Alligator mississippiensis: one gene and its partners. The protein of the gene in region 1 purifies or fractionates together with the protein of each later gene. This does not show direct contact. Links are inferred from orthologs where the notes say so. Each region holds a gene or a part of one and is shown on either strand. Other genes may lie near its edges.

The links.
Region 2: the proteins of PNKP (region 1) and LIG3 purify together in Homo sapiens (co-immunoprecipitation; 5 studies listed by BioGRID and IntAct, with this or other methods). This does not show direct contact. The link is inferred for Alligator mississippiensis from reciprocal best matches to the Homo sapiens genes PNKP and LIG3.
Region 3: the proteins of PNKP (region 1) and XRCC4 purify together in Homo sapiens (co-immunoprecipitation; 5 studies listed by BioGRID and IntAct, counting the BioPlex papers as one, with this or other methods). This does not show direct contact. The link is inferred for Alligator mississippiensis from reciprocal best matches to the Homo sapiens genes PNKP and XRCC4.

The regions. Positions count from the first base shown.
Region 1 is NC_081828.1:39,806,886-39,816,379, reverse strand, and holds the start of PNKP (bifunctional polynucleotide phosphatase/kinase), read left to right. Parts: upstream 1-5,186; 5' UTR 5,187-5,227; coding exon 5,228-5,432; intron 5,433-5,643; coding exon 5,644-5,690; intron 5,691-6,279; coding exon 6,280-6,738; intron 6,739-6,858; coding exon 6,859-6,938; intron 6,939-7,310; coding exon 7,311-7,368; intron 7,369-7,447; coding exon 7,448-7,555; intron 7,556-9,494. Other genes in the region: TRPM4 (transient receptor potential cation channel subfamily M member 4), read left to right, coding at 100-272, 1,093-1,225, 1,442-1,514, 1,735-1,831, 2,128-2,132. UniProt on the Homo sapiens protein: Plays a key role in the repair of DNA damage, functioning as part of both the non-homologous end-joining (NHEJ) and base excision repair (BER) pathways.
Region 2 is NC_081837.1:26,292,206-26,302,489, reverse strand, and holds the start of LIG3 (DNA ligase 3), read right to left. Parts: upstream 4,121-10,284; 5' UTR 4,061-4,120; coding exon 3,568-4,060; intron 3,198-3,567; coding exon 3,054-3,197; intron 1,025-3,053; coding exon 827-1,024; intron 1-826. UniProt on the Homo sapiens protein: Isoform 3 functions as a heterodimer with DNA-repair protein XRCC1 in the nucleus and can correct defective DNA strand-break repair and sister chromatid exchange following treatment with ionizing radiation and alkylating agents.
Region 3 is NC_081826.1:248,738,548-248,748,386, forward strand, and holds the start of XRCC4 (DNA repair protein XRCC4), read right to left. Parts: upstream 4,488-9,839; 5' UTR 4,405-4,487; intron 4,285-4,404; exon of another isoform or gene 4,166-4,284; intron 1-4,165. Other genes in the region: TMEM167A (protein kish-A), read left to right, coding at 4,663-4,665.

The DNA of each region.
Region 1 (9,494 bases):
ATGGGGCCTATGTCACGAGTGTATGAGGGGCCCATGAGCATGGGGGACAGGGAGGTAGGGGTCCTCCTCCACCTAACTTTCCCCCCCCCCCTTTTCCAGCTACACCTTCTCTAAGGTGCAGGGCAACAGTGATATCTACTGGCGGTCACAGCGCTACAGCCTGATCCTGGAGTACCTCAGTCGTCCTGCCCTGGCGCCCCCCTTCATCCTGCTCAGCCATTTGTACACCCTGCTGCGCCCCCGCACCCGCTGCTCCCGCAGCCGGCACTTCTGTGAGCATGGGGCTCAGGGGAGCTGGGAGCAGGTGTGGGGTGCAGAAGGAGCAGGGGACTGGGGGGGAGCTGGGGGTAGGGGGTGGGGAAGGGACATGGTGGGAGCTGGGAGCTTGCAAGGAAGGGTTTGGGGGTTGGGTAGAGCTGGGGTTGGGGGAGTTTGAGGGGAAGGGAAGCTGGGGTGGGAAGGGAGGGGTTGGCATTGGGGATCTCACTGAAGGGCTGGAGGCACTGGGTTGATTGACCCTGACACTGTCCTCAGCTTGGCTCCCCCTTTCCTGTGTTCTGCTCTTCCCCCTCCCCATGTGAAATGTATGTGCGCCCATGTCCCCATGCAAGCTCATGCACATGACCTCCCTTCTCATGCAAGCTCACACTCCCCCACCCTCGAGCACAGGGGTGCTTGGAAAGGTGCAGGAGCCCATGCCTGAGTTGTGCAAGCCAGCCCACATCTGTACCCATGCCCTTGTGCAACCTTGCACACTCAAGTGCCCTCGCCCCCCCTGGGTGAGCTTGGAAGAGCCACACTCACACTGTGCGAGCTGGCACATATCCTGTGCCTTCCCCCTCATGCAAGTCTCTGCTGTTGTGCCAATGCACACATCTGTGCCCCCACCCTCACGTGAACTTGCAGCACCCCCCAACTCCCTGCTCCATCCCCACCCCACGCCCCGGGAAGTCCCAGGCTTTTTAAACTAGGCCCAACTGTAAGTTACTTTCAGCCCCTTTCCCCATGTTAGCTCCCATGCCCTGCCTGCATGGTTCTTACGTGTGTGCATGGTCCCTCTCCCCCTGGCCCGGATGCCTGGGTCCCTGGCAGCGCTGGAGCTATCTGAGGAGCAGGATGGGCAGCTGCTTACATGGGAGGCGGTGCAGAAGGAGAACCACCTGGTAGCACTGAGGCGCCAGAAACGTGAGAGTGACACCGAGCGCCTGAAACGCACCTCCCAGAAGTGAGGCGGGGCATTGGGGAGGGGGGCTAGGGAATGGCTGCGGGGAAAGAGGGGTGCAGGGGGGAACCCTAGGCAAGGGGAGACATAGAGAAAGTGGAGGGGGTGGGAAAAGAACAGGGGGTCACTGATGGAGCCTGGGATGGGGTGCAGCAGAAGCTCTGAGGTAGAGGGGCTGGGGGGACCCCTGAGTGACCCCCATTCCCTCCCCCTACACAGGATGGACCAGGCCTTGAAACAGCTGGCTGAGATCCGGGAGTCAGAGCGACACCTCAAATCCCTGGAGAACCAGGTACCCGGGTGGCAGGGGGTGGGGGCTGAAGGACCCCATCTTGGGGGGGGGGGGAGGTTGAGGAGGCAGGAGAGGGGGCTCTCTATGTCAGGGTCTCAGGGGAGAGGGTGCCGGAGGCAGTGGGGGGAGGAGGGTTGGGGGTATAAGGGGCAGAGGGAGGGAGTGAAGTAGGCTTGGGGGCACTGAAGCTCTGCCCCCCCGACCCACCCAACCCCCCCAGATGGAGTACTGTACGCAGGCTCTCTCCTGGGTGGTAGATGCCCTGGCTCAGAGTGACCTAGGGAAGAAGCACCAAGACCCTCCCATGCTCAGAAAGGGTAAGTGACCCCATCCTCCCTGGGCTCCTAGCCCCCCGCCCCCCCACCCCCCGCAGGATGTCCCCTACTCCCCAGTCTCCATCTCCCTCCCCCTTGGATGCAGGCTGCCCCCTCAACCCTGGGACAGGGTCCCCCCATAAGCAACCACCCTACTCCCACCCCAAGAACCAGGCCCCTCGGGGGGTGGGGCAAAAATGAAGGGGTTAATTGGCTCCTTCATATATTAGTGTCCCCCCCCAAGCTGCAATGTGACCACCTCCTGCCTGTCCTAATTCTGTCTGTCTCCCCCCAACCAGAATGACCCACTCCCCCAACTCTGCCTGGACCAGTGAGAAGATGGGAGAAATGAGAACCCAGGTGACCAGGCACCTGGGACCTGCTGGAATCCAGGACAACCTCTGTAACCTCACTGTGAACCCAGGTGTCTGGGTGCTGTGCACTTTCTGAGGGGCTGGAGTTGGAACACCCCCCCCCCCCCCCCCAATCATTGCACTGGGAAGCCAGGAGTCCAGCTACCAGAGACTTTCCCTGTGGGGCTGGCATCCAGGATCCCCACCCCTGTAGACCCAGGTGACTGGGTGCCAAAGGACCTTTCAGAAGGGAGAAGCAGAGGAAGGAGGGAAGTTGGGGTATCCTGCCCCCAGCACTGCCCTCCATCCACTCTGGCAGGAGCCTCAGGATCTTGAATGACTTGAATTCTTTGATTAAATAAATATTGATTGTTGCACACCATGAGAACCAGGCCTGGGGGGCAGGGGCTGGGTGAAGTGGGACCCCCCCCCATGCCAGGATCCTGTGCTGGGAACCTCTGATACCCTGCCACTAGCACCCCTCACCTTGAGAGGCCTAGCAGAAGGGTGCCCTGTGTGCAGGAACCCAGGACTCTGAGCTAGCCTGGGGGCATGAGAAGGCCCCTACAGCGTCCACTTTGCCTCCAACCAAAATCCTCATGTGGTTCTCCCTAGGCTCCAGAGCAGCTGTACACCCCCATGGTCCCCCCAAGGACCCCCTAGACTTTCCCCTGGCCTCAGGGTGCCCTGCTTTGGGGTATCTTCTTCACCTACCACTGCCCCTCCCTGCCTGTGGCACCTACCACTCTGCCTCTCCCTCCCTGGACCCTCTCCCCCATGCTGGTGTGTGCCTAGGGACCCTTTTATAATGAGATGACTGGCTCTGTGGAAGTGGAGAGGGCAGTGGATGTGATACACCTTGACTTCAGCAAGGCTTTTGGTATGGTCCCCCTCAACATTCTCACAGGCAAGCTAAGGAAGTATGGGTTGGTTGGATGAATGGACTGTAGGGTGGATAGAAAACTGTCTGGATCATCAGGCTCAGAGCCTAGTAATCACTGGCTCAATAACTATTTGGAACCTGGCATCAAGTGGAGTGCCCCAGGGGTCAGTCCTGGGGCCAGTTTTGTTCAGTGTCTTCATCAATGACCTGGAAAATGGCATAGAATACACCCTCAGCAAGTTTGCAGATGACAGCAAGCAAGCTGGGGGGAGCAGTAGATACACTGGAGAGTAGGGTTTAGATTTAGAGAAATCTTGACAACTTGGAGGACTGGACCAAAAGAAATCTCATGAGGTTCAATTAGGACAAGTGCAAAGTTCTGCACTTGTACCAGGGCATTGTTCTGTCCTAAGTAGGCAACCAACTGGCTAAGCAGCAGTTTTGCAGAAAAGGAGCTGGGAGTTACAGTGGACAAACTGAGTACGAGTCAACAGTGTTGCAAAGAAGGCTAACAGCATATTGGGCTGCATGAGTAAGAGTGTTGCCAGCAGACTGAATGAAATGATTATTCCCTTCTATTAGGCACTGGTGAGGTACTGTGTCCATTTGTGGGTTCCCCACTACAGAAAGATGTGGACAAATTAGAGAGAGTCCAGTGGAGGGCAACGAAAATGGTTCAGGGGCTGTGGCACATGACTTCTGAGGCTGAGGCAACTGGGCTTATTTAGTCTGGAGAAGAAAAGACGGAGGGGGGGATTTAATAGCAGTCTTCAGCTACCTGAAGAGTGGTTCCAAAGAGAATGGAGCTAGACCGTTCTCAGTCGTCACAGAACAAGGAGCAATGCTCTCAAGTTGCAGCAAGGGAAATTTAGGTTAGATATCAGTAAAACACTGGAACAGGTTGTCTAGAGAGGTTGTAGAATCTCCATCCCTAGTGTAGTTTTTAAGACCCGGCCAGACAAAACTTTGGCTGGGATTTTTTTAAAATATAATTCTATATATACATAGAGTTATATATATACATCCTCTAGCATAAACTTTCTATCACACCTTTAAATCACTTTAAGAAACCATGCACCTGTTGGAATAGATGATCTCCTTAGGTCCCTTATTTTCTATGATTCGGTGACCCCTTCCTCTATTGCAAGGCCCCCTGTCTCCTCCCCAGGCAAACTCTCATGGGCAATCCCATTCTCTGGTTCCCTCAGCCCTTCTCCCATACACCAAGGGCTCTGGGGGCCTCATAGCCACCCCTTACTGAATCTCTCGGCTCTCCAGTGACTTTGGCAGCGCCCTCTGGGCACAACCCATAATTGGCTGAGCCCACAGCTCTACTATCCCCAGCCTGGGCCACAGCACCACCTCTCCATGCTGTCCTGGGCTGCACCAGAGGGTCCCCCAATCCTGGGCAGCACTCACTGGGCACTTGGGATGTGGCAGGTAAGGGACCAGGTACCAGGGCACAGCACTGAGTCATGCAGCGGGACTGACGCCAGCAATGCCCCCCCCCACCAAGCAGAGGGCCGTGTGCCCCACAGACCTCCCCCACCCCGCTAGAGGCTCTGGGCGTCGCCCCCTCCTCCGCCCCTACGAACCAAAATGTCCCGGAACCCTCGGCGCCTGGTCCTGCGCGCGCGCCGGCCGGAAGTGGTTGTGGCACCCGCACCGGAAGTGCCGGCGCTGCAGCGGCGGGAACCTCCGAGGGAGAGAAGCTGCCGCCGCCGCTCCTCCCCACTCCCGGTTACGGACACAGGGGCCACTTCCGTGGTGGTGGGGGGGGGACTGCAATAGGTGTGACACTCCCCGCCCACCACACCCCGGCCGTGGGGGCAGCTGAGGTCCCTCCTCCTAGGGCCCCCCTGCAGCCCCCCCAGGGGCGGATCAGGTCCCCCAGGGTGAAACTGCCTTGTGGCACTAGGGGCTGGGGCCAACTGGGGGGAGGGGGCTTCCCCAGGGATTCACGGTGCTAAGGTGGGGATAGGGGTGATGAGGAGGAGGAGGGGCAGAGCCATGGTGGGTCTGACTTTTTGGGGGGGGCGGGAAACAATGGGGGAGGGGATGGGGATGATGGGGGGGGTCGGCGGTGGGGGAGGGGTTTGGGACAGCGGGGAGGAGCAAGGGAATGGGGCTGGCTGTTTTGGGGTGGGGCAGGAGGTGGGGCTGATGGAGAGGCAGGGGGAGATGGGACTGGAGGTGCCATCCCTCACCTCCTGCCCAGTGCCTCTCCTTCCACCTGCAGCCATGGCTTGCCACCTTGTGAGCCAGGACGGGAAGCACGACCCCGTGCCCCTGCCCAACGGCATTGCCGTGGTGCTGGGCCGTGGCCCCGAGACCCGTGTGGCCGACAAGAAGTGCTCCCGGAAGCAAGGTGAGCCGGGCCCCCCCTCCCCCCAACGATTCCCTCTACTCTCCATGCACTGTGTGTAACTTCCCCCAACCCAGGTACAGCCCTCCCAAACCTGCTTGCTCCCCCATCCCAGACCATCTTGTCTGGGGAGTGGCAGGGGGGCTAGGGTGTCTGGATTTGGCAGCATGGGGGTTGCTTGTTCTGATTCCCTCCTTGCTGTTTTCTTTTGCAGTGGAGCTGCTGGCTGACTACAAACAGCAGGCAGTGAGAGTCACTCAGGTAAAGGGTGAAGTCAGGCACAGGGGCCAAGAGGCAGGTTTGTAGAGGAGTTGTTTGTACAGGGACCCCATGCCTGACACTGAGATGCAGCTGGTTCCAGGGTGGAGTGTGTCTGGGACTACTTATGCAGAGTTCTCTTTCCTGGTGCTGAGATGCAGCTGGCTCTGGGTTGGGGCACATCAGGGATCTCTTACCCAGTACTGAGATGTACTTGCCTTTGGGGTAGAACATGTTAGGGCCTGGTTATACAGAGCGCCCTCTCCTGGTTTTGGGATGCGGCTGCCTTTGGAGTGAGCACCTTGAAAGCTGGTGCATCTTGCTTGGCACTAAGATGCAGCCATTTCTTGGATTGGGGCACGTGGTGGGCTATTTATACAGGGACCTTTCATTTGGTACTGAGCTGCAGCTGCCTCTGGGGTGGGGGCACCTTGAGGGATGGTTATTCAGTTATCCCTTGCTCAGTGCTGAATTGCAGGTCCCTCTGAGGTGGAACAAGTTGTGGGCTACTTATGTGGCCACCCCTCCCCTTGGGCTAAGATGCAGCCACCTCTTGGGTGGTCTCCCCTAATGCACCCCCCCTTTGTTGCAGCTGGGTGTAAATCCCACCTCAGTGGACAACCAGGAGCTGGGGCAGGGCAAGAGCGCCACCCTGAGGGAGGGGCAGACACTATGGCTGGTAAACCGCAGCTACCCCCATGGCCTGCGCTTCCTGGCCCTGGCCCACTCCCCCCACAAGACCCTGCTGGACTTCTTCAGCTCCAAGCGCCAGCCCCAGCTAGAGGGGGACAAAGATGAGGATGAGGAGCATCCCCACAAGAGACTGAAGGCTCCCAGCCCCTCTGAGGAGGATGAGGAGGAGGATGATATTGTAGCCACCAAACTGCATCAGCTGCAGGACACAGCTGCCCAGGCCCAGGGAGCAAAGAGTGGGGCTGCCCCCCAACCCTTGGGGGGGTCCTGGAGCCTGCCCCCCCACCCCCAGGACTCCTGGGAGCAACACAGCAAGCTGCTGGTATTCACTAAGGAGGGTGTCATGCCCAGCACCAAGGTACTCTCTGGTGGAAAGGGACAGGACACCTCTGGGAGCTGAGGGATTGGGGTTGTGGGGAGAGTGGTGAACTTCTCTGCTCCTCCCCAACTCCAGGCCCTTGATTCCCTGTCTCTGCAGGTTGCTGGGTTTGACCTGGATGGAACCATCATCACCACTCAGTCAGGAAAGGTTTTCCCTACCAGTCCGGACGACTGGAGGTAAGGACGGGTTGGGAGTGAGGGGCACCATGAAGCTGGGGGGGGGGGGGGGGGGGGAGTTGAGGGCTGGGACTGCAGTAGGGGACCCCAACAGAGCTGGGGGAAACCCAGGAGTGGGCTGGCTGGGGGCAGGTGTGGGGAGCATTAACAGGGTTTTGTGGGGCAGGAAGTCAGGGGCAGAGTGGGAGACGTTGACAGGGTTGTGTAGAATGAGATGGAGAAGGAACTTAGGAGTTCTGGGGAAGAGCTAGGCACTGGCAGGGCTGTGGGCAGGGGGCTGTGGGTCAGGAGCGAGGGACCCCAGCAGTTTCCAGCGTGTGAGGTCTTGGGATAACTCCTGTCTCTTCCCTCCCCCTCTCTCCACCCCCCAAGGATCCTGTACCCTGAGGTCCCCCAGAAGCTGAAGCAACTGCAGAGAGAAGGGTATAAGGTATTCCCCCCCACCTTGGCCCCTCCCCCCATTCCCTCCCCCAGCCTCTCCACTGACCCCCACATTACTGTCTCCCCAGATCATCATCTTCACCAACCAGCTGGGGATCAGCCGAGGCCGCCTGCGCCCCGAAGTCTTCAAGGCCAAAGCGGAGGCAGTGGTGGAGCAGCTGGGGCTGCCCATACAGGTGAGCAGGGCTGGGGTTGGAACCTGGGATGTGGGGGGTTGGGGGGCTAGGGGGTTGGACCCTGTCTAGCTCCTGCCCCCCTAGTGCTCAAAGATGCCCCCAGTGCTGTGTGTAGTCCCTGATGGCCAGCTCAGATTTATAGATTCTAAGGCTGGAAGGGACCTCGGAAGATCATCGGGTCCAGCCCCCCTGCACCAAGCAGGACAGATGACTGGGGGTCAGGTGACCCCAGCAAGGTGACCATCCAGTCTCCTCTTGAAAATTTCCAGGGTAGATGATTGCACCACCTCTGACGGGAGATTATTACACAGTCTGGACACCCTGACTGTGAAGAAGTTTTTCCTAATGTTGAGCCTGAATCGGTCTTCCAGGAGCTTGTGGCCATTACTTCTAGTTTTCCCCTTGGTTGCCTTGGTGAACAGTTGCTCACCAAGCCCTAGATGTATTCTGCTAGTGTAGCAGTAAGCTGCTATCAGGTTCCCTTTCAGCCTTCTTTTCTTCAGGGTGAAGAGTCCCAGATCCCTCAGCCTTTCCTTGTATGGCTTGCCATGTAATACCCTGATCATACAGATGTCTCCTCTTTGGCTTCTCTCAAGCTTGTCCATGTCTGTTGAAGTGTGGTACCCAGAACTGGACACAGTACTCCAGCTGCAGTTTAACCAGTGCTGAGTAGACTGGAAGAATCATCTCCTTGGTTTTGTTGGAGGTGCATCAATTGATGCATGCCAGAGTATTACTTGTGGCCATTACTTCTAGGGTATTATTTGCCCTACTGGCTACAGCATCACACTGCCAGCTCATATTCATATTGTGGTCTGTTATTACCCCCCAAGCCCCTTTCATTCATGGTGCTAATCAGTTTGGTGCTGCCAAGTCTGTAGGTGTGTTGGGGGCTGCTCATCCCAAGGTGGAGCACTTTACATTTCTTGACGCTGAACTTCATCAGATTCCAGTCTGCCCAACTTGCTAGCCTGTCTAGGTCCGCCTGTATCTGTAGCCTATCTTCAAGCATGACCACAGTCCCCCATAACTTGGTGTCATCCACAAACTTGGCCAGTGAACTCTTCACCCCCATGTCCAAATTGTTAATAAAGATGTTAAAAAGTGCTGGACCAAGCACTGACCCCTGTGGGACACCACTGCCCACTTCTCAGCAGGAAGACAGATAAGGTCACTATGACTCTCTGGGTCCTATCCTGCAGCCAGTTTTTCACCCACCTGACTGTCTCGGAGTTAAGCCCATAACCCAGTTTTCTCACAAGGACATCGTGGGATATGAGATGAAAGGCCTTTTGGAAGTCTAGGTATACAATGTCAACCGGCTCTCTCGTGTCCAGATGGTGAGTCACCTGGTCATAGAAGGAGATGGGGTTGGTAAGACAAGACCTGCCCATGCTGAAACCATGCTGGCTGTCGTTTAGAATCTTCCCTTCTGCAAGCTTATCACAGATAGACTCCTTGATGAACTTTTCTAGGATTTTCCCTAGGATGGAAGTTGGGCTGATTGGCTTATAGTTACCCGTGGCCTTCCTCCTGCCCTTCTTGTGGATAGGCACAACATTGGACCTCTTCCGGTCCTCAGGGACTTCAGAGCACCATGAGTTGTGGAAGAGTTTCACCAGGAATTCCGCAACGACTTCAGCCAGCTCCTTCAGCACTCTTGGATGAAGAGCATCCAGTCCCACTGACTTGTATATGTCTAATTTTTGTAATTAGTCATACACCAATTCTACAGCAGTAGTAGGAAGGCGATTATTCCTACCGTGCTCATCTTGTACTCCTACCTGGCATTTTTTCTCTTAGTCCTGTGAAAGACCGAGGCAAAGTAGTTATTCAGGAGTTCAGCTTTTTCCTGGATGCCAGTGACCAGCTCTCCTGAGTTGTTGAGCAATGGCCTCACGCTCCCATTTGTCTTCGTCCTGTTCCCTGTGTACCTAAA
Region 2 (10,284 bases), on another chromosome or scaffold:
CGGGTGTCACTCTGATTCCCTTCCCCTGCCTTAGGTTGCTCTCCTTCCTGCTCTGTACCCTGCTGCTTTGCTTTCTGCTCTGTCTCCTCCCCAATCTGTTGCATGCCACACACAAGCTGCTCATGACAGTTGTGCCACATGTGATACAGGTTGGCCACCTCTCAGTTCTTCTCTATATTAAAGGACACTTCTCAGGGGAATCATCCAGTTGATCCCTTCCTCATCTAATTTTAGTACTGCACATGGGTGACTGGTGCCTCCTGAGTCACTTGCCCCACCTGACTGCACAGTCAGCAACTGGGGGTGGGGAAGAGATCCCGCACAACTGATCCTGCTGACTTGCAACTGGCAGCAGTGTGCTGCTGGCACTTCCGGGTTGGCGGGATCGGCAGTGGGGGGACAGCTTCTCCTGGTGCACTTCCTGGCTGGTGCTCTCAAGGGGGGCACCAGCACTCTCGCCTGCCCCCTCACTTGGGCACGTTAGCTGACAGGGGGTGCACTAGCACTCTCAGGGGGTGCACAAGCACCCCTGTGCACACCCTACGCATCACCACTGGTACTGCAGATTTGGCACCAACTGCTCATGATCTTGCTGTTAGTCTTAATACAACTTACTATCTCCACAATAGTAAAGAGAATGGAAAGCACACTATGGATACCACCCAGATTATATTAGAGATAAGTGGTATAGGGCACAACTCTGGGAATCCTCATCCACAGACATGACTTTTTTGCTTCCTCAACTCCTGAAATAATGCTTGAGGGTCTGGTTAATTGTTTTAGAAAAGCCCTTCACACACAGTGAAGTGTCAAGCAGGAGTCACACCTCCTCCAGTCCCTTTCTGCAGAAAGTCCTGGATGATCTGTGTTTTCACATTATAGCTGGGCTTGTCAGCAACCATGGCGCACAATTTTCTGAATTCCCGCAACAAGCAATCCTTGTGCTTTGGGTCACACTTCTTTGAAGACAGAGTAGACTTGTGGGAAGAATTGGCAGGGGTGTCCCCAGAACTGCCTGGTTTAGCTGCAAGAGAAAGACATACTATTTAAATTTTTAAGATGTAGGCTGGAATGATATGATTCACACTTTGAAGAGACGGGCACCATTGTCCACGCAAGTGGAAAGCAAGAACAATACTAACAAACTGGCAAAGCTTCAAATATGAATGAAATGCACAGCAATATTTGAGAATTTATGATCAAAATCTGAATCAGCATTTAAAACAAAATTTATGCTACTTTAATAAGTCTTTTCCCTTCAGAGCACAGAAGAATTTTCTGGAGCTTAAATCTACCTACTTCAATGGTTTAAATCTTGATGCGAAGAAACTGTGGCGAGTGATGATTTTATTTTACTTTCTGGACTTGCAGCAGATTTCCCCAATATCTGCAACCATGAAGGCAATCTTCAGTGGGTGGAAAAGGCTTGACAAAGGCACAGGTTTTCTTATAACTGTCCACTTAACCATTATTTGTTTTTTTTTCCAATCAACTTCCAAAGATACCTGCTCTCACCAGGAAGATGGAACCTGTCTTGTCAACCTTATGCAGGATCTGGACATCTTATGTACAGTAGGATCAAGTCATCCAAAGATGGGATGACTTGATGAGACGATTTAATTTTAGACTGCATGTGGATAAAATATATTCTATTACAATTATATAAAAACAGCTTATCTGACTGGTGGGCATCCTTTTACACAAGTACTGAAGACAGAGGGTTCAATATACAATCAGTGACTTTGTCAGGGGAGTCAGCTCTAACTGAGCTTTCGTAGGACCAGCGTCTGAGTCTCCAAAGACATTTTTACGTGCATTCCTGGATGGGTGCTTTGATTAGCAAGCTGCGCTAATTAAAAGAGCCCACGCATCCTGCGTATCAGCATTGCCACACTGAAAAAACGGCAACAGGGCACTTTGAACTAAAGCTCATCAGATGGGGCTTATTTGAAAGCACACCACTGGCATTTTGTCAGTGCGGAGATGCATGACGACACTGATACACATGACGTGTGAGGCTGCTGGAGCACATCAATTTGCATGCTCCAGCAGACTTGATTACATGCTGGATTTCCAGCACACCAGAGCAGGCTCTGTACATGTGTATAGGAGCCCCAAGATGCTACCCTGCCCTGCCTTCTGCAAATCTGTAATTCAGTGAGCTAAATCAGCTGCATCACAGTTTCTTATGAAGCTCAAGAACTAACTTGGCAAATGATCAATTTATCGGAGAGGCTTGTTTCTTGTAAAAGAATACCCCATTTGAGTTGGATTCTCGAGTAGCTGTCAGAAGCAGTTTTTCCAATGCAAAAAAAAAAAGTACATTTAGAAATAAAGGGTTATCTTAGTTTTAACAAGCAAAGAAAGGCTGTGTAACAGCCTACATTTTACAAACTTCAATATATTCAGGTATCTGGTTATACAGTACAGTCACACCAGGAGGACAATAGTTGCAGTTTTGGAAGGTGGTGGCTTTAGTTTAACAAACTGAAGTGCTAAAATATATTAGAAAAGCTCAGGTGTTTTATCTGCTTTATTTCTGCCTCTCTTTTAGCATAAAAGGGCACATCATTTCAAAACCTAGCGGCCCTTCAAAGGGGTAACGTAATCAACACAAGTCACAAAAAACAGCTTGCCAGTTCCATATTAGCTTTCCAGATACCTTCACTATTCATACCCCACAGAGAGAGGGGAAACTCCTGTCCTGCTCCTGTTAACGACAATGAGAGATTTTCCACTGAGGCTAAAAGGAGCAGGTTTCTGCTGATTTCAGATGAGACAGTCAAACATTTTTTGTAGTCCCCTTACACTTTCTGAGTAGAATATTTGGTTGGTTTTATCCCTGTTCACACAACCAGAATAATGCAAACACCTGACAGCTGAGAAAATACTTAACATTTTCCTCAAACTAAATATGAAATGTAGTTTGTACTAAACAATCTTCTAGTTTCTAGATGAAAGCTACTGGTGTGAGACTCAGCTTGAAACGCCAGAAATATGAATGCTATGTGAGAAATAAAAGCTTCTCCCAGCATCTATATACCAACTCCGACCTGTGAAACCAGAGAATTTCTTTGGAGATGGATTAGGAACAGCTCCTGGATCTTTCTTGGGGGAGGTTATCTGCCCACTGGGGGACAGCTTAGCCTGGACTGTTGCCTTCTTCTTAGGTGTGCTTGCAGACTTGGATGTGGCCTCTGTAAGAGATGAAGTGTTGAGATCCACAATCAGTGACAGCCCCACAGTATTCAATAAGACTTAACAAGTCACAATGCTTGACAATAAGCAGCTTGTTTCTGAGCTACAAAACATCCCGCCCTTTAGGAAGGCGTTTCTACAGAGAAATAAGCACAAAGTTATGGGGATTGGCCAAGGGTCGCACAGCACGACACAGCAGAGCTGGGACCAGAAACCAGCAGTGGCTCCCAGTGCCCTAACGAGGGGCAGATGACAGGTCACCTTGCGCATGCGTGCGAGTGCCCCTGCCTCTTCTCCCTTGCTGTAACTTTGTTTTCTGTCCCTGCCTCAAGATGCAGGGGGCGGGGGAAGGGGCACAGGGGCTCTCACCCGAGATAAGCTGGTTGATGAGGTCTTTCTCGGCATCTTGCAGCTCCTCCCACCCCTCGAGGTCTGTGATGTCCTCTATCTTCTTGGTGGTGGCACGAGCCCGCTCCAGCTTCTCGAATATGCACTTCACGTGGTACCACTCCTTCATGTCGCCGCCCGACTCGGTGAAGGGGTTGGGCACAACCTTCCCAATGCGGACCATGCCCTTCAGGATCTTCTCCTTGCACTTCTTGCAACCGGCCGTGCCGCGCTTGGCGTAGTCCACGCAGTACCGCTGCTCCGCCATGGCCTCGGGCGCCGAGCACAGCCAAGCGCGCGGGGCGGGCCGGCCGGCGCGCGGGGGGCTGCTCGTTGGCAGGCCCGGGCGCCAGGGACGCGGGCGGGCCCAGGGGCGGCTCGGCAGCAAGACGCGGCCCTGGGGGAGGCGAGGTCCCGCCGCGCGGCGCAGCGCCCCAGCGACCTGCACGAAAAGCCGCCGGAGAGCCGCGGGCATGTGCGGCCGGGCCCGGCTCTACGAGCGACGGGGCCTCACAGGCCGCACTCGGCCCCGCCCCGGGCTGGCGTCGTCACCGCCCCCGCGACCCGTTTAAATCCGGGACTCGAGATCGCGGGCCACCGCGCATGCGCACGCGGGCCCGAGGAGCTGGGGCAGCCGGGATTGGCGGTTCTCCATGCCCCGCCCCGCCCCGCCCCCTCCCCTGACGCGGCACGGAGGCGACAGATCCCGCCCTCGCCTCAAGCACGATCCCCTTCCTGCAAAGCGCGTCACCCCGCCGGTTGCGACTCCTGGGGCTCAAGAGCACGGGGCACCGCGCCTGCGCACGCGGGCCCGAGGAGCTGGGGCTGCCGGGATTGGCGGTTCACCACGCCCCGCCCCTCCCCTGACGCGCCCCGGAGGGCCCTCGCCTCAAGGCCCGCCCCCAGCGCGGGCGGCCCCCCCCCGCCCGTTGTGACGCCCGCGGCGAGGGCAGGCCCCGTCCGGCCACGTGGCCCGAAGCCTCCGTCTGGTGCGACTGACCCGCTCGTCTCAGCGGGTGCCCGGTGCAGTCGGCGCCAGGGGCTCGGCCTGAGGACATTGTGTTGTGGCTCCGTATTTTCTTTCCGTACATTAAAGCAGACTGAAGCATTTGCCACATTTCTGAAGTATTTATGAGGATGATACACAGGAGAAACAAGCTGCCTGTCCCCGGAATAGCCTCGAGTGTTAGACTTCGGACAGAAATTATAGTCTTGATGCAGGATTTCGTTCAGAGCAATGATGTTCGAACGAATTCAGTTTTCTTGGTACTGAGAAAATGTCCCAAATCACCCTGCGTTCAAATGAAGTGAGACCTTTAATAGCTGCCATACCGTAAACAAGTGTTTCTTCTCTGTAGCTGCTGAAGAAGATACTGAGCAGGGGCAAGACAAAACAAAAGAGATAAGAGAAATGGAGAGGATTACAGAATGATTTGGAGAAAAGTAGAATAATGCTGCTTAGGTAATGCATGGTGATGCTCAGTATTGCTCATCTATTTGCACATGCAGGGAAACTATTTGTCAATACAGTTTTAGAATGGAAAGTCTATTGCAGCCTTAATCATCAAGGCATGGGACAAGAGATGTGTATAAATTCAGTCTGAAAGAGATTCACCATTGTTCAAGGTGAACAATGGTTTCCAAGTGTCCTCCCGCTCTGATAGTAGAAATGGTTTGTGTTTGAATGGCCCCTGATCTGTTTTCATGATCAGGCCTGCATAGGTGGAATTTGCCACCAGCAGAGGGGGCCTAACTCAAGGCTGCCACTTCAGTCTCATTTAAAGTCTCGCTTAAATGCAGTATAAGTAGCTCATAGATCCTCTACCTGGCAGTGAATATTATCCAGTAAGAACTCATAGGCAAGGGTTGCTTTGACTTGGTTCATATCCATTAACATGGATTGATCAGAAACAAAAGTAAGGGTAGGTCTTGGCTAACATCCAGCAAAAGAGCTCTTATCCTAAAGGACTGAATTTGCTGCGAGAGTTGTAGTCATTACTGGGCTGTAATAACCCCACTGATGTGGTCTGCTACGGGGAGATCTGCAGGCCCAGAGCTGGAGAGTTGCCATCCTAATAAAAAAATCTCCCTAGCACATGCTTCATATTATTTGGATCTTTGTCTCTCCTTTCAAGGCTGAATGAGTCCCTTCTCTTTGTACCTTCCCTAGAGCATGTGTGACTTCATATGGGGATAAGGAAAAGCCTGTGTGTGTGAGCCATGACTTGTATGGCTCCCAAAGGCTACAGAATAAGTATTAATCCATCCTCAGCATTGATCACGTAACTACATTTCTTGAAAGCATTTATGACCTAGGGACTACAATTCCCTCTCAGGGCCAGTTCCACTTATTCCACTTATGGGGATAAGATGCTAAAAATATAATATAAACTGAGTCTAATTAGAAGCTAGTGATAGAAAAGCCTGTTGGGTCAGACTGTGAGATCCACTGGAGAACAGCTGCTCATAAGAATAATCCTGCCGAAGTCAGTAAAGGTGTTCATATCAGCAACTGTAACCTACTAGAGTAAAGGGGCAACCAGTCTAATCCTTTGTGATTCAGTGGTAAAGCTTGGGCGAATGATCCAAGCTCTAGTCTCAGGTCTGTCACTGATTTACTCGGTGACCTTTGACAAGTCACCTGTTAATTTCAAAGCAAGTTAGACATTCAGGAACATCTGAAAATCCTACTTAGTGCCTGCTTCTGAATCCCCTGATGCCTAGGATGAGAGGAGTGAGTACACATCATGACGCTCCTCTGCAAAATGGGATATTGAGTGACAGAGGCTTCTCCATGAAGAAGTGAAGAAATGGATAGAAGTTGGGCTTGGACCTTGCCCTGGGTCTGAGTATACTCAGACTCAGGGGGGCTTGGAGCAGAATCTGAAATTCATGGCTCAACTCTACAACTGGGCAAGTTTATTGGAAACAGGCAGTTGATAATGCAGATGGGGGAAGGAGAGAAGTGGGGAGGCTGCATTAGTGGATTAAAGAGACTGGCTGTCTAGGACCAGCTTACTGTCCATGAAGCTATGAAAAGCAGGGGGGGAGTGTTCCTTGTCCTGGGAATCCCATTCCCTGCCATATGCCACTCATGGAGAGTGTACACAGGATATGGCAGCCTGTTCCTACCAGCCAGCATCAGTACAGGTGTTCTGCATACATACCTGTGAATCAGTGGCCACCACAACACCATCTGGTTCCAAATTAGCAAAGGGCCTGATAAAGAGCTCAAGGCCAGTTGTCCCTCCAGCTGGGGAACGCGTAGCTTCCTAGTAGCATTCTAAGGCCAGAGAGAATTCTTAGAAAGCAAAGGTAGAGACAGACAACAAATTCCCCTTCCTGGTCCTAAACACTGTGCTCCATTGTTTCCAAGGTCTACTTCTGCACTTTAACATGGAACTCTTATTAGCCTCTTCTACTAACAATATCACAACTATAGTGGGATTCTTTCCCAGCTGACCCTTTTGCCATCTTCTCAATATTTCTTCCTTCCTTAAAAGACCACTGAAACCAGACAACCTCTGTGACTCCACCCTTCCTTAACATTTGACTCCTTTGATGGCCGAAAAACTCCTCAGTTAGAATTGTTTCAAGTCTTTTTTCAAAAGCACACTGACCAATAAATGACTCCTGAGGCAGGTATCCATCATGGGAAATTTCAGCTGAAATAACTAAAATGTTGCAAAACTATATGCAATTGAAAGCAAGGTCTTATAACTCAAAGTGTTAGGTATCTATAATAATGCTATCAGTCTGCCCTACAGTAATGTCATCTTTCCCATCACACCCCTCTGTCTTGTCAGTTCAGAATTAGACTACCCCTTCTTTGTAATGAAGTGCTTCCTCTTCTCTCATGTATTCTTTGAAGGATTCCTTTCTCATAGCTGAGCTTGCAGTTTTGCAAAGAGAAGGCAGCTAATTTATGCGTGCACATTTTTAAAGCTATTTTAAATCCACAGAGTGTAATTTAACAACAGCTATATAAATACTTGTGGGATTTGCCTGTAATAAATACTCATGATAGAAGCAGTGTGTGTGTTGAAATAACTTTATTTAAAACTAAAGTAAAAAGAGTCTCCATCCTTATCATCAAGCATTATTAACCAAGGCACCTGCTTTTTCTGGAAAACCCCAGACTGGCTGCAGGCTCTCTCTAAGACAAGGTCATTAAGGCCATTCTGAGCAGATGTTAACTGGGGCTTGGAGCACCTCAGCTGCTGCAGATTAAACCCAGTTAACTTGCCTTGCCCTGCTATAAAAAATCACAGGTACCACAGTTGCTGCTTTACTGTCCGGGGGGGGGGGAGGGGAAGAGAGGCTTATGTTCTTGTTCTTCTTAGCAGCAAAGCTCTCTGCAGACTTTCCTTCTTTAAAAAATGGAAAAAGTATAGGAGAAATTACTTTAAATGTGAGTGCTGAAGAACCAGGGACTTCTGAGTAGAGAATTCCCTTTAGAGTAGATCTAATGGGCTTATCTAAATCAGGATATCTTTTTTTCTTTCTTTCTTTCTCAGGCATCCTTAGAGGGATTATTAAAGCAGCTAAGAAGTCTGAAATGTAAATCTCCCACTCAAAAGCAGCCTTGCTTTTCAGAACTCAAGCTGGGGAGAGAGGAGACCTATATAGTTTATCTTCTGTCTCTCACTTCCTGAACCTGAATATTAAATTACATTTTAAGATAGTCACTAATGGCTTCGCTCCTAACCTTAACCTATTCACTAAATTGAATGAATCCAGAAGTGTTTCTTAAAAACTTTTTTAAAAACCTACATGCTAACTGTCCTGCCCTCTTTGTCCCAAACTGTCTCTGAGATGAGATGAATACTGCTTCCTGACAATTCTAGCTACAAACATTCTCCTGCTTAAGAATTCAGTTGGCTGATAGCCTAGAATAAATCGGCTCCAAGGGTAAAAACTTCTGGGAATTGGAGAGGAGGAACTTCATTATGGAGTGCTGTGAAGAGAGTTGCTACCATAGGTGGCCTTTTATGAATGGCTAATCCAACCCCTGGAAGCTGTAACTTGTGTGTATTGGATGCAAAGTAGGCATAGCTTGGAAATCTTACTTATCTTGAATTTTGAATAGTCTCTAGCTCATGTAAAATGCATTTATAGATGAGTAATAATTTTAGGATCCAGTATCATAGTGCTGCTGCAGCCTTTGATTCCTTCAACTCTGTGTCCAGAAGAGTCACTGGGTCAAATCAAATCTAATCTTAACAGGGAACTCTTTGGACCAGGCCTCACTCTTCCATAGAAACAAAATGTGTGTCTACCTGCCTTTTCAAAGAGGAAAAAATGTACACCAGGGCTTAGTAATGTATCCTCTAAGAACAAGGAAATGGTAATGCAAAGAATGAACGTAATCTGGGTTGATGCCACCCTAAACACTGCAGTGTTTTTTAAATGACAAGCTGTGAATTTCTGGCTTTCAGTTTACTTTAATGTCAAACCTGCTCTCCTTCTGAGCCTAGAAATGTAAGCTATAAAACATGGTCATTTCAGCTCAAGTACTTTGCATGTCCTAACTGCCTCCATATTTTATAGAAGTATGCTTCTCAAAGAATTTCTTTCCTTTACCAATACAGTTCCCAGACACATCACACTGCCCAAATAAACTGGAAGGTTACCCATTCTCTTAATGCCTGTTTCAATTTTTTTTTCCTTACTAGCAGAGCATTTCCATCTTTCCACATGTGCTGCTAGAAAAATGCAGACAAAGGAAGATTCCTCCTACCTACATTATCCCTAAAATAAACCTGGAAGAAAAATCATGTAACTAATTACCTTAGGCAATACTTTCATAGTTACTAGGCATCCCATGGAGGTGTTTAAACATTCCTTTCATTTAGGCAGAAGAGTACTTAACATAGCGTCTGCTTTTTAACCAGGCTGCTTTTGATGATCACTCTCATCAAGTGAGTCTTTCATCCAGTTATTAACAGTCACCACACTACTCCGTATTTCCATGTTTGCAAAAAGTTAAATGGCAGGAAGGGAAGATCATCCTTTAGCTGTGTGACTCCATTTAGTTTTTTTTTCCAGCAGCTTCTACTGAATTTGACCAGTCCCTGTGCTGAAGAAACAGCATTTGCTGGAAATGTCTACAGAAGAGTTCACTGACTTTTTTCTTCCCCCTTCTCCCACCTCAAACTTCAAGAAAAACAAAACTGAGCCTTAAACACAAAGATGTTTAAAGAATAGGGAGCACATCACATACCCTCCAGGGAGAAAAAGATGGAACATTTAAGAAGTCTCTTTCTTTGGTGTCCCCTGGGAACTGGACAAAGCACAATCCTTTTGTATTTCTTGGAAGTATTACCCAAACTTTGGTTTGAATCGGATGGCAGGAAGGGGCAGAGACTGAAGATGAGATGAGAGCTCTGCTCTATCAAAGTACGCTTTGAGAGCTCAAATTAACAAACAGTGGGTTAGTTACCTTGCTAGCAGAGTTCAGTTTCCTTATGGTTGTGACCAGACACCTGAAGGCTCTGTAGAACCATACTCCACAGCAACAGACAAAAACGTAATTCAGTCCAGTCACTCAGAGGTGTAGTCCAGTGTTTTCTGCCAAACTTTAACATTTTAGTGTTGCAAGGTATTTAATAGGCACAACTCAATACATATGTAACAATTTCTTAAAATACTATCATTCCCTATGGGCATACACACAATTGCATATAAAAACATTCTCAG
Region 3 (9,839 bases), on another chromosome or scaffold:
GATTTAGTTGCAAATCTATTGAAAAATAACCAAAAAGTGCCAATGCAAACAAGATTTAAAATTGATTATTTAAATTAAGTTTTGCTTGCTGCTTAACACCATGACAAAAACCAGTAATTTAAATAAAAACTAATATAAATCAACCTAGCCTGAATTCTGTTTACCAATCTTTTAGCAGAAAGTTCCAGATATCAATATCAATACACTGCAAATTAGAAATTGAAATTTAGGGTCCTTTTCTGGAAAACTGAAATCACGTGAACTATTAATCTGGGTTCTTTGAAAAGGCAAAGCCAGAATATATAAACACATTAAGTGCTTTATATATTTATTTTAAGGGATGCAGTGGCAGAGTGATGCACCTTGCTCCTGCTCCAGAAACACAAGTTCAAGCCCTGCTCTAGATTTGTCCTAAAGAGGTCTTTGGCCAGTCAACCACAACCTGGTCATTTGGGCTAGGGAGCAAACCAGTTGGATGCCCCATTATCTACTCTGCTCCCTTGTATACTGTTAGTTACGAAAAAAAAATCTTAGGTTCAAAAGGACCTCTGACCTTTTGATACGTGTATGTCAGTTATGTTTAAATGGTTGTTTAAACAGCAGATTGCCTACATTCAGTATAACTGTGTTTGTATTTCCATTCTTGACCATTGTGCAACTTCCTAAAGGAGTATTTGCTCATATCAACTGTTAACCTTCTATCTCCCACAGGAGGAGTGTAATTCTTCTTCCCCATTGCCCAGTGAAGAAAAGAAACTAACGTTTGCATTGTATAACAACTTAGGCTGAAAACAATGTACTGCAGTTAAATAGTAAACCTTAATAAAGAGAACCCAAAATAAAACTATCATTTTGAAGCATGGATATAGCCTTTCCCATTCTTTAAGAATCACTAGTCTTGGAAAGGGCAACATTGGGTTATTGGTGTAATAAACTTTCAGAAGACATGACATCAAATGTAGGCACCTTGCTGCAAATATATTATAATCGTGAGGAAACTCTTCGACTCCAAATTGGCCTTCACACATATAGTCCTGTTTTCCTGGAATTCCTCAGAGGATCAAAGCTAACTGCTTAAAAAAATACTCCGTTTAAAAAACAAACACCACATCTGTTTCATGGTGAGCCAACAAATTAAATACTATCCATTTCAAAGGCCCGATGGTAGAGGTAGACCTTCTTTAAAACCAGCTGCCAGATGCAAGTCTCTCTATAGAATTTATAATCTAAAATGTTTCTTAAAAATGTAATGTTTTAATTAAGCCAACAACCTATATAGCACACAGACTACTTTAAACATCTATAGGATTTAAATTCATGACTTTTAATAGATATAGATAAAAGGGGTAAAAATGTAACCCTTACATATGTGTGCAGTTATTACATATCTTGGGTTATATAATACAATGAGTTCACCCTATAATGTAAGATCAACCATATAAACATCTGTTCACAGATTGGACACTATTCTACGATTGTAGGTATAATGTAAAGAAGATCCATTATACATTTAAGTTTTCATAGACCAATCTAGTCCAGTGGGTGCCAATCTTTTTTGCAGTTGTGCCAGAAATTAGCCCCACTCTCTCCATTGCAATTGCCTTCCCCTGCCCAATCTGCTCCGAGCCCTGTGCCCCCAGCCTAATCTGCTGCTCTGATTTCTGCTTCCTTACTTGCAATCCCGGCCCAATCTGCTCCTTGCACTACCTGCCACGATACTGCCTGTCCCCTCCCCAATCTATAACATGCCACACACAGCAGCTGCACACACCACCTTGTCTTGATTGTCACAGGACATCAAGCAACAAGATGTTACTAGTATGAGTTAGTGAACATATCAAGGGAAGAAAAATGCTTGATTCCCCTTCCAAAGAGATGGACAAGTTTCTAATTGCAGGATTTCAACCACAATGCATTCCCCTTAGACCCATACTGCCAGTCCCAATTTGTTGCTTTTTTCTTATAAATAATAAATACTGGTTATCTGTGTAACATGCATAATCTCACTATTTATCTTTAACTGTGTGCGGACCGGGAGCGGTCCGAGGCCCTTTTTTCGTACGGCGGGCTGTGGCCAGCAGCCCGGACACGCCGGGTGGGGGAAGACAGGTGGCACGCTAGAATTAGGCATGGATGCTTAGTGGTTGATTTAAGATTATTTTACTTACACCAAAGATGGTCGCGGTACAGGCAGGAAAACTTGCTTGAGTTGCGGTTACAAAACAAAACAAAAAACTCGAACCTGCAGAACGTTAGGGTACGTCGCAATGGGGTTTCGGCGACAGGAGATGAACAAAAACCTCAGGAGTACGTCGCAATGGGGTTTCAGCGACGGGAAGAAAAAAATCTGCAGGACTCGAACCCCGGGTAGAGCTCTGGATTCACTCACATGAAGTTTGCTAGGCTCCGTGGAACTTTGTGTGCAGGGAAGGGTACGTCGAGGGATCAGGCGGCGACGGGGAGAGGCAAGAGGCTGATCAGACCCCTATAGCCTTCTTGAAATACACGCTGGGTCCGATAGGCTCCACAGCGCTTAGAGATCTTCACGAGACGTGAAATTCTCCTCCACCTGATGGTCGTGGAGTCCTCCAACTTGGGCGGAAACCACTCAAGCCTCTTATACGGCTAGCAAGCCAATCGCTAGCAGCCACGTAGGAATAATTTAGAATTGACCAATAGTGGGGCACGAATCTGAATACAAATGGCGGGAACTCCTTGCAACGTGCATCTCCTTTCTGCAGCTCAGAAATGCACCCTGCAAAGAAAGCTATGAGTGGCGGGAAATAATTCAGCAGTGCCGAAGCACACACAAACAAAAATCACACCCTTGGGTTGTGACAAACTGTACTCAGGTAAACTACATGCTAGTTCCATCTGTCAGCATTGTAATTTTACTCCCTTTAAGTGAGCCAGAAACAGGGATAGGGAAAGCTGTTGCGAGTCTCAAAAACAAGGGAAGCCAAACCCAAGGCTTTTAATAACAGCCTCTGGCTCCTAGGATCTTGAAAATAAATACAGGTAGTCAGCTTCAGGGCTGCAAGGCAGCACTGCATACCTGTGGGAAATTGGTCACATTGGACATCTTTACACGTGCTGGGGGGGCAGGGGTGTCAAGCAGAGCAGCTCCAGAGACCCACTCTAATTACAGCACCCACAGCATCTCATGCATCCAACATCTCCATGCTTTAAAATGCTAGCAGGGGTGCTCTTTATCTAGAGCTCATTTGATGAGCTTTAGTTAAAAAGCTCCTGCCATCATTTTGAAGCATGGGGATGCTGAATACACAAGCCCCCAAGGCTGCTAGTGTGCTAATTAGCATGCTCCAGCAGACTCAATTCATCGAGACTCGATGAACTGAGTCTGCTCTGACACATCATAATTACAGTACAGCGCATCAGAGACAGTGCTCTGCATGTCTACAAGCACCACGAAGTCCCACTAAGTGCAAAGGTGAAGGGCCCTGCTACATGTTAGCATTGCCAACCCTCCAGGAGTCTCCAGTAATTAGACATAAATCTCCAGGAGCTTGCTGAGAGTCACCTGGGAGATAAATGATAAGGCATTCATTAAAATAAAAACGTTGACTCCAATTTATACAGTAATCCAGTGGGGGTTTTTTTAATGTAATAATCAGGTGCATTTGCCTTCCTGACCTAAAGTCTACGCACCATAATCCATCACTGATACACGCAAGCACGTGGGCGTGTTCACGTTGCGTTTGGCAGTCTGGAAACGGCCCCAGACAGATTCAAAAAGAGTTGGCAACCCTACTACATGGTCAAATGACAGCTGGATAGAAACTAGCTCTGGTGCCGTTCCCCAAACAGCCAGCTGGCTCTTTTCTAGAGCAGGAGGCTCATTTTCCATGTGTGACCACGACTCTGAACCTAGGGCCGCTCTCAACTTCTTGCGCGACTCATTTCTCAACTGCATGACGACTTGGCGCTTGTGGCCGCCTACGTGTACTGCGCGAGTCGCCACGAGCCTGGTGCAGGCAACGCGTGGTAGGGCCCCAGGACAGCACAGCCTTGCTGCAGGCCCGGGGCCGCTTTCTTCAGTCCCGGCGTCCCCTGGGACTGGGACAGGAGAAAGGCGGACGGCGCGGGGAGGTCTCGACCCGCTCCCTCAGCCGCACAAAGCAAACCAGGGGCGGCCTCGACTCACATCGGTTGCGGGGCGGAACCATAATGGGGCCCCAGGCCATTACGGCCCGTCAACACCAGGTCTGGAGCCGGGAGAGGGCCCCGACCCGGCACTGCCCGGCTCAGCCGAGCTGCGCTCTCCCAACCCGGGGAGCGGGCGCACGCGCACTGCTGCCTCACTCGGGGGCGGGGCAAGGGCTCCCCCCGCCTCAGCGCTCCCCCAAGCTCCAGCGGGGGAGGGGCGCGTCGCTCGCTGCCTACCTCGCTCAGGCGCCGCCGCTTCCGGTGCCCTGGAAAGGCCGCTTTCGCCGCGGGCCTCAGCACAGCCAATCGCAGGCCGCGGCGGCCTCTCCGCGTTCCCACCCCTCATCGCTCCCCCGCGCCAATCAGAACGCTCAGCGGCGCCCGGCCTTGCGAGGCTGGCATCTGTCCGGCCAATCAGAAGGAAGTTAGGCTCCTATGTCTTCCGGTCCCGCCCCTTTGCTGCCGGAAGTGTGATGTGGCTGGCAGCGGGGCGCTATGGTGAGTGTGGAGGTGGCGCGGGCGGCGGCGGGCGGCGCTCGCGAACCCTGGTCTAGGATCACCTACCTCCCGTCCTCACCCCCCCCGGTCGGGTGCTGGACCTGAGCATCCGGGTGCCCCTTGTCCCATCAGGCGAGGCGGGGACCGGCAGCGAGGCCGCCTCGCGCAGCGCCCTGTGTCTGACAGGGGTTTCCCACAAGTTCCTCCGTCACTGCCCGCGAGAGCCAGGGGACTTGTCGGTCGTGTCAGGGTCCCAACTCGGGGGTGCTCAGGGCACTGCAGCAGCACCCTTGGGTGACTTGACATCCTGTCAGGACTGCTGCATGGCATGAGCGCTGCTGGGTGGGCAAAGGGGTCTAGCAAATAAACCCAGATCTTTCAAACAGGAATCCGTCATATGAGTCCCAACTAACTTGAGTCCGTGTAATAAAAGCTATCATATTTACCCAAAGATCACTGTCTGCCCATGTCCGTAGACCAACACAGCTCTAACCTGTGCCCCTATTATCTTCAGTCAGACACGCAGCAAAAGCTGAGGGGGTCTCGATTTAAATTTTACAAGGAGGATGTACTTGAGTTGAGAACTGCCGGTCTAACTTGACTTGCTCTTCATCTTCTTCATGGGGATGCTCATATGCTTGTAATTGAGACGTCAGGTGCATGAGCAGAGGATTTAATCATTTTGACAGCTCTCTGTGGTAGATGCTTTTGAGAATGATTTGGTCTAAATAAAGGCATAGCTCAAGATGAGATGCCTGTACCTAGCATACGTGGACTGACTGGAGATGACTCAGTTGGGCTCTTCCAAGGAGTTCTCCGAAGTTCAGCAGTCTGGTGGAAGAATAGCCATTCGGAATCGGAGTTGAAATTGCTTCAACCTGGGGAAAATACACTTTTCTACAGTGGATGATGGGAACACATTTGTTCAACCAGTTTAAGCTTTCAGAAGCCATTTAGTTTCTTTTCTTCTGTTTAAATATTTGGGTTTAATAGGACTCCCTATCAGAATAAAGTTTCACATTTATGGTACCTGAAATCAAAGATGAAAATAAGACGTTTTCGGAAATTTTTTATAAAACGGCCAGTCTCAGTGGTGGTATCATTTTTGTGAATCTTTCTTTACTGTCCAGTAACTCTGAAGAACAACTGTTCTTTTTCATGATCGAAGAAAGCCAGTACATCAGTATGAAAAAGGTTGTGTAACCTCTAAAGAGATTCCCACGGTCTGGCTTTTGCTCCCCCATGCTTGTAGGAGCATTTCTTAATAAACCTTTTTCTTGTAAGGTCTGGGGCAGACAAGTGAAGTGCTAAAATACAAGTGCTTTCTGTCCTTTCTGTATAGTAGATGGCCATAACATTAAGAGATTCTGAAACCTGCATGTATGGAACCTGTTGCAAATGGAAGAAATTAAGTGAATTCTCTTTCTTCACCAGCAGCCTAGAAGACTACTTGGATATAATAAAGTAGCCTCTAACAGAGAGAGGGAAGTAGTTTAAAACTCCACCTTAGAATATAAATTAGAATAATCACATTCATCAGTGGAGTATTTATTCTTCTGATTTTAACCTTTGGATTTTTCTCTAAATATTGTACGTAAAGGATTGGTGCCCCCCCCCCCCCCCCCCCCCCCCAGGAATTTTTTAGCTAAAGCCTCTATAATAGTAGAGAACGTCCAGGCCAGAACATGTTCTGTGTAGAAACGTCTTGTTTTGATAAGTAAATATTTTGTCAAGTAGACTACTTGGATGAAAGTTGGGCTGAATTTTCCAGTGAACTTGCGTAGGATATCATCATGCTTCAAAACGAAGGAGTGGGGCTTGGGGGCTGAGATCTGGCAATTATATATGGAGCTCTAGGATGTGTACGAGGAAATGAGGCTGAATCAGGGTAGATCTGGGAGCTACCAGAAAACATGGTATGGGTGGGGTGTGATAGTGTAGCTCTACAGGATTTTGTGTTGCTTTTATGTGTTTTGGAGGCTAGAGGGTATGGACCATGGTTAACACAACTATAAGAAGCATTAACACCTGTTTGAAAACAAACTAGAATACCAATAGCTATGGTCTTGTAAAACCAGATTTCTACCCTGTTTTCTAGTTAATAGAGCATATTTACAATATGTCGCTTTCTAAAATAACAAAGCAGTTCAACAAGAAGTTAACTTAAAACAAATTGGATAGAGACCGAGGGAAATTGTATGAGATTTTACACTCTCTCTCTCTCAAGAATGATGGGAAGGAGGCAGGCAGGGACAGAGACCTGCGTCCAGCCCCCTCCCCCCACCAGTGGCTGGGGCCATGGCTGCTCCCCACCTCCCCCCTGCAACTTTGGGCCGGGACTGGGTCTGTGTCCTGTACCACTTCAGGCTGAGGCTGCTCCCCCACTCTGCTTTGGCCTGTAGCCCATGATCACGGCAATTGTGGCGGTGGTCACGGCAGGGCACAGCCACCAGTCATCCCCCTTGCCTTCCCGCTTCCCTCTTCTCCGCTACCTCTGCCTCCCCACTGGCTCTTGTTGCATTTTTTTAAAACATTACCCAATATTCTCATCCTCCTTGTAAAATGGAGAGAAGTTGTATAAATTATTGTTTCTGTAATGTAGAGGTTTCCTCATTAGAATACACAAGTAAACCTGAAAAGCTTATAGTATCCTGTAAATTGATAAGAATTTATAATGCAAATTCACCTGTGACAGTCATTGAATTAAGGCATGCCTTCTTGTTAGTTTCTTGGACTGATGGAGGGAGAAATAATTTTACACTGGTTAAAAAAGACTGGTATTTTTTATAGATTTGTAGGGCGAAATAGTAAACTGGTTGCCTTAGCCTAAATACAAAGGAATATCCTTTCCCATGAGTTAAGCTGGTGACTGTCTAGCACGCTGTGTCTATTTCCTGAAGCTTTTGCATGACCTGTTAATTGGTGGGAATTAATGTATGCAATAAAGAAGCAAAGCCTTTTGCATCACAAATTTTTTGTGGGACCAATATGCTGCTTTGGATGCGTTGGTTTGGTGTAGTACAGACAGAATTTGTATAGGTGAAGATGTAAACTGTTGATTCTCAGACAGGTACCCTTGTATCCTTTCAAGGATGCCATGGGTGAACACAATATACAAGCTTAACCCAGAGGTTTTAAATACAAATCCAGTGTCAAGAACTTTCTGCCCTGTTGTGGTCTGAGTTTTTTGCAACAAAAGAATTGCTGTTAGTTTTCTGTAGTCAAAGAAAGAATGAAAACTAAGAGCTGGAATTGCCTAAAGGTTCTCTGAGTCTAACGAGGAATGCTTTGAGTCTAGAAAGGTTGAGAACCACTGATGTAGATGTATGATACTATCACTTTTGCTTGTGGATCAGTTGGAGTAGTTATCTGTGAAGCTATTTCAAGAGGATTGTGGTCAGTCTCTTGTCATAGACTTTATCACAAAGCAGAACAGTTTTTCAGTTTCAGAAGAAAGTCGGAATCTAGCTTTTATTGTTGTGAACTAATTTAATGTTGTCTTCCTGAAACTGTAAGTGGCCTAAAACAATAGTTCTCAGAAGTGCAGACTCTCCCCACCCATGTTAGTTTGAAAGGTTATGTTGAGGTCTTACTGTTGCCATTTTAATTACCAATATTAATAGTTTCACTGTTGTTTAACTGCTATTGCATTTTAGCTGCAGCAAGCAATGTGCTTGACTTGTGAGCTGTAATGATGGATGTAGGTGTGGGGAAATGAGATAAGCTTCTTACTGTAATGTATTTGATAGTTTGAGGTTTCAAGCCATCTCAGAATTTCACATCAGCCCTCTTTGCAGCCAGGGGGAGAGAAAAATGATGCATCTTTTGCATGTTGCTAACTTTTTTGCTAGTCTCAGACAGTCAAAAACCTAAGGCACTTCAGTCTCTCTTGAACCACACACCTGCAGTGGTCCCACAGGGCCAGTGTAGTGCCAGTTGTTAGTGCACAGCACTTTTGTGCAACCTAACAGATTTAGGTATGTGCAGCAGGTGTTGAATCTGCTGGTTCTGTACAAGCCTGATAGGGTGGGAACTCTTGACCCCCAAAATTCTTTATTCAGTGTTTTCATGGACATGTATTTCATGTTGCAGGAATACTTGTGTCATGAGTCCCATTATATTCATAGGATGTCATGCATGTTTCCTTGAGTTTGTTTACTGATATGGCATGTATAGTCTGTACGTATAAGTAGCATCAAGTTGTGTTCAGCCTTAACATCCTTAGGTTTATATGAATTGTGGTATTTGATATAAATCTTATTTCTTTAATTGCAATAGGGCCAGGATTGGGTAATGAGTCCCTTGGGAGAAGCTCAAAGCCTAAAGAAAAGTAATCACTGAAAATTAGCATTCGAAAGGGATGTTAAATATCCAGGCCTTCCAAACAATAACGAATTTACATTTTAAAAATGGGGACCCATAAAAATATCACATTCCTGTGTGGGCTGTTTGGGGAAGAACATTTATCACAGTGGGAAAACTAAGTGAGAGACAGTATCTTTAGGATACTGGATTTTAGTAATCTTCATGTCTGAAAGGATGCAACTATTCTCCTAGTCTTAATTAGATCAGGGAAGACTTTTAGACTGGTAAACGTGCAACTTCGTTGCGGGGGAGGAAGACAGAAAGTTATATACATGTTGTGGGATCCCCAAGAATCCAATGGGCAATGTATATAAATAACCAGATAAGAAACTATACTTAAGCTTTGCCTTGAGAACAAGTCGTGTCAGGATAACTTGCATGAGGCCCTGGCAGGAAAGTCAGACTCACAAGCACATGACCAGACAAGGATATGATTCTTCTAGCTGTCAGAATCCCTTCTGTTGAGAGCTGGCCAAACTTTGGTGAGATGGGTAAGGCTGAGGTGCCACAGGCCAAGGAGTTAGTTCCTGACACAACTCAGCTGGTTCTCAGCAGGTGGAAAAGAGGTTTAAAGCTGAAGGGCACCAATGAAGGTGTGAAACACTCTAGAAGTGTGTCTCAAACTTGCCTCTGGCTGCTTGTAGGTCCAGAGCACACCCCGACACAATGCAGTTCCTATCATTTAAGAAATTTCCCCATTTCCTTACAGGGCTGTATTCATTAGTAGGGACTTCCCTAAGTCATGGCAGAAACTTACAGCGCAGCATTGCCTTTATCTCTCTCTTTTTACCATGTGCTCCTCCCCCTCC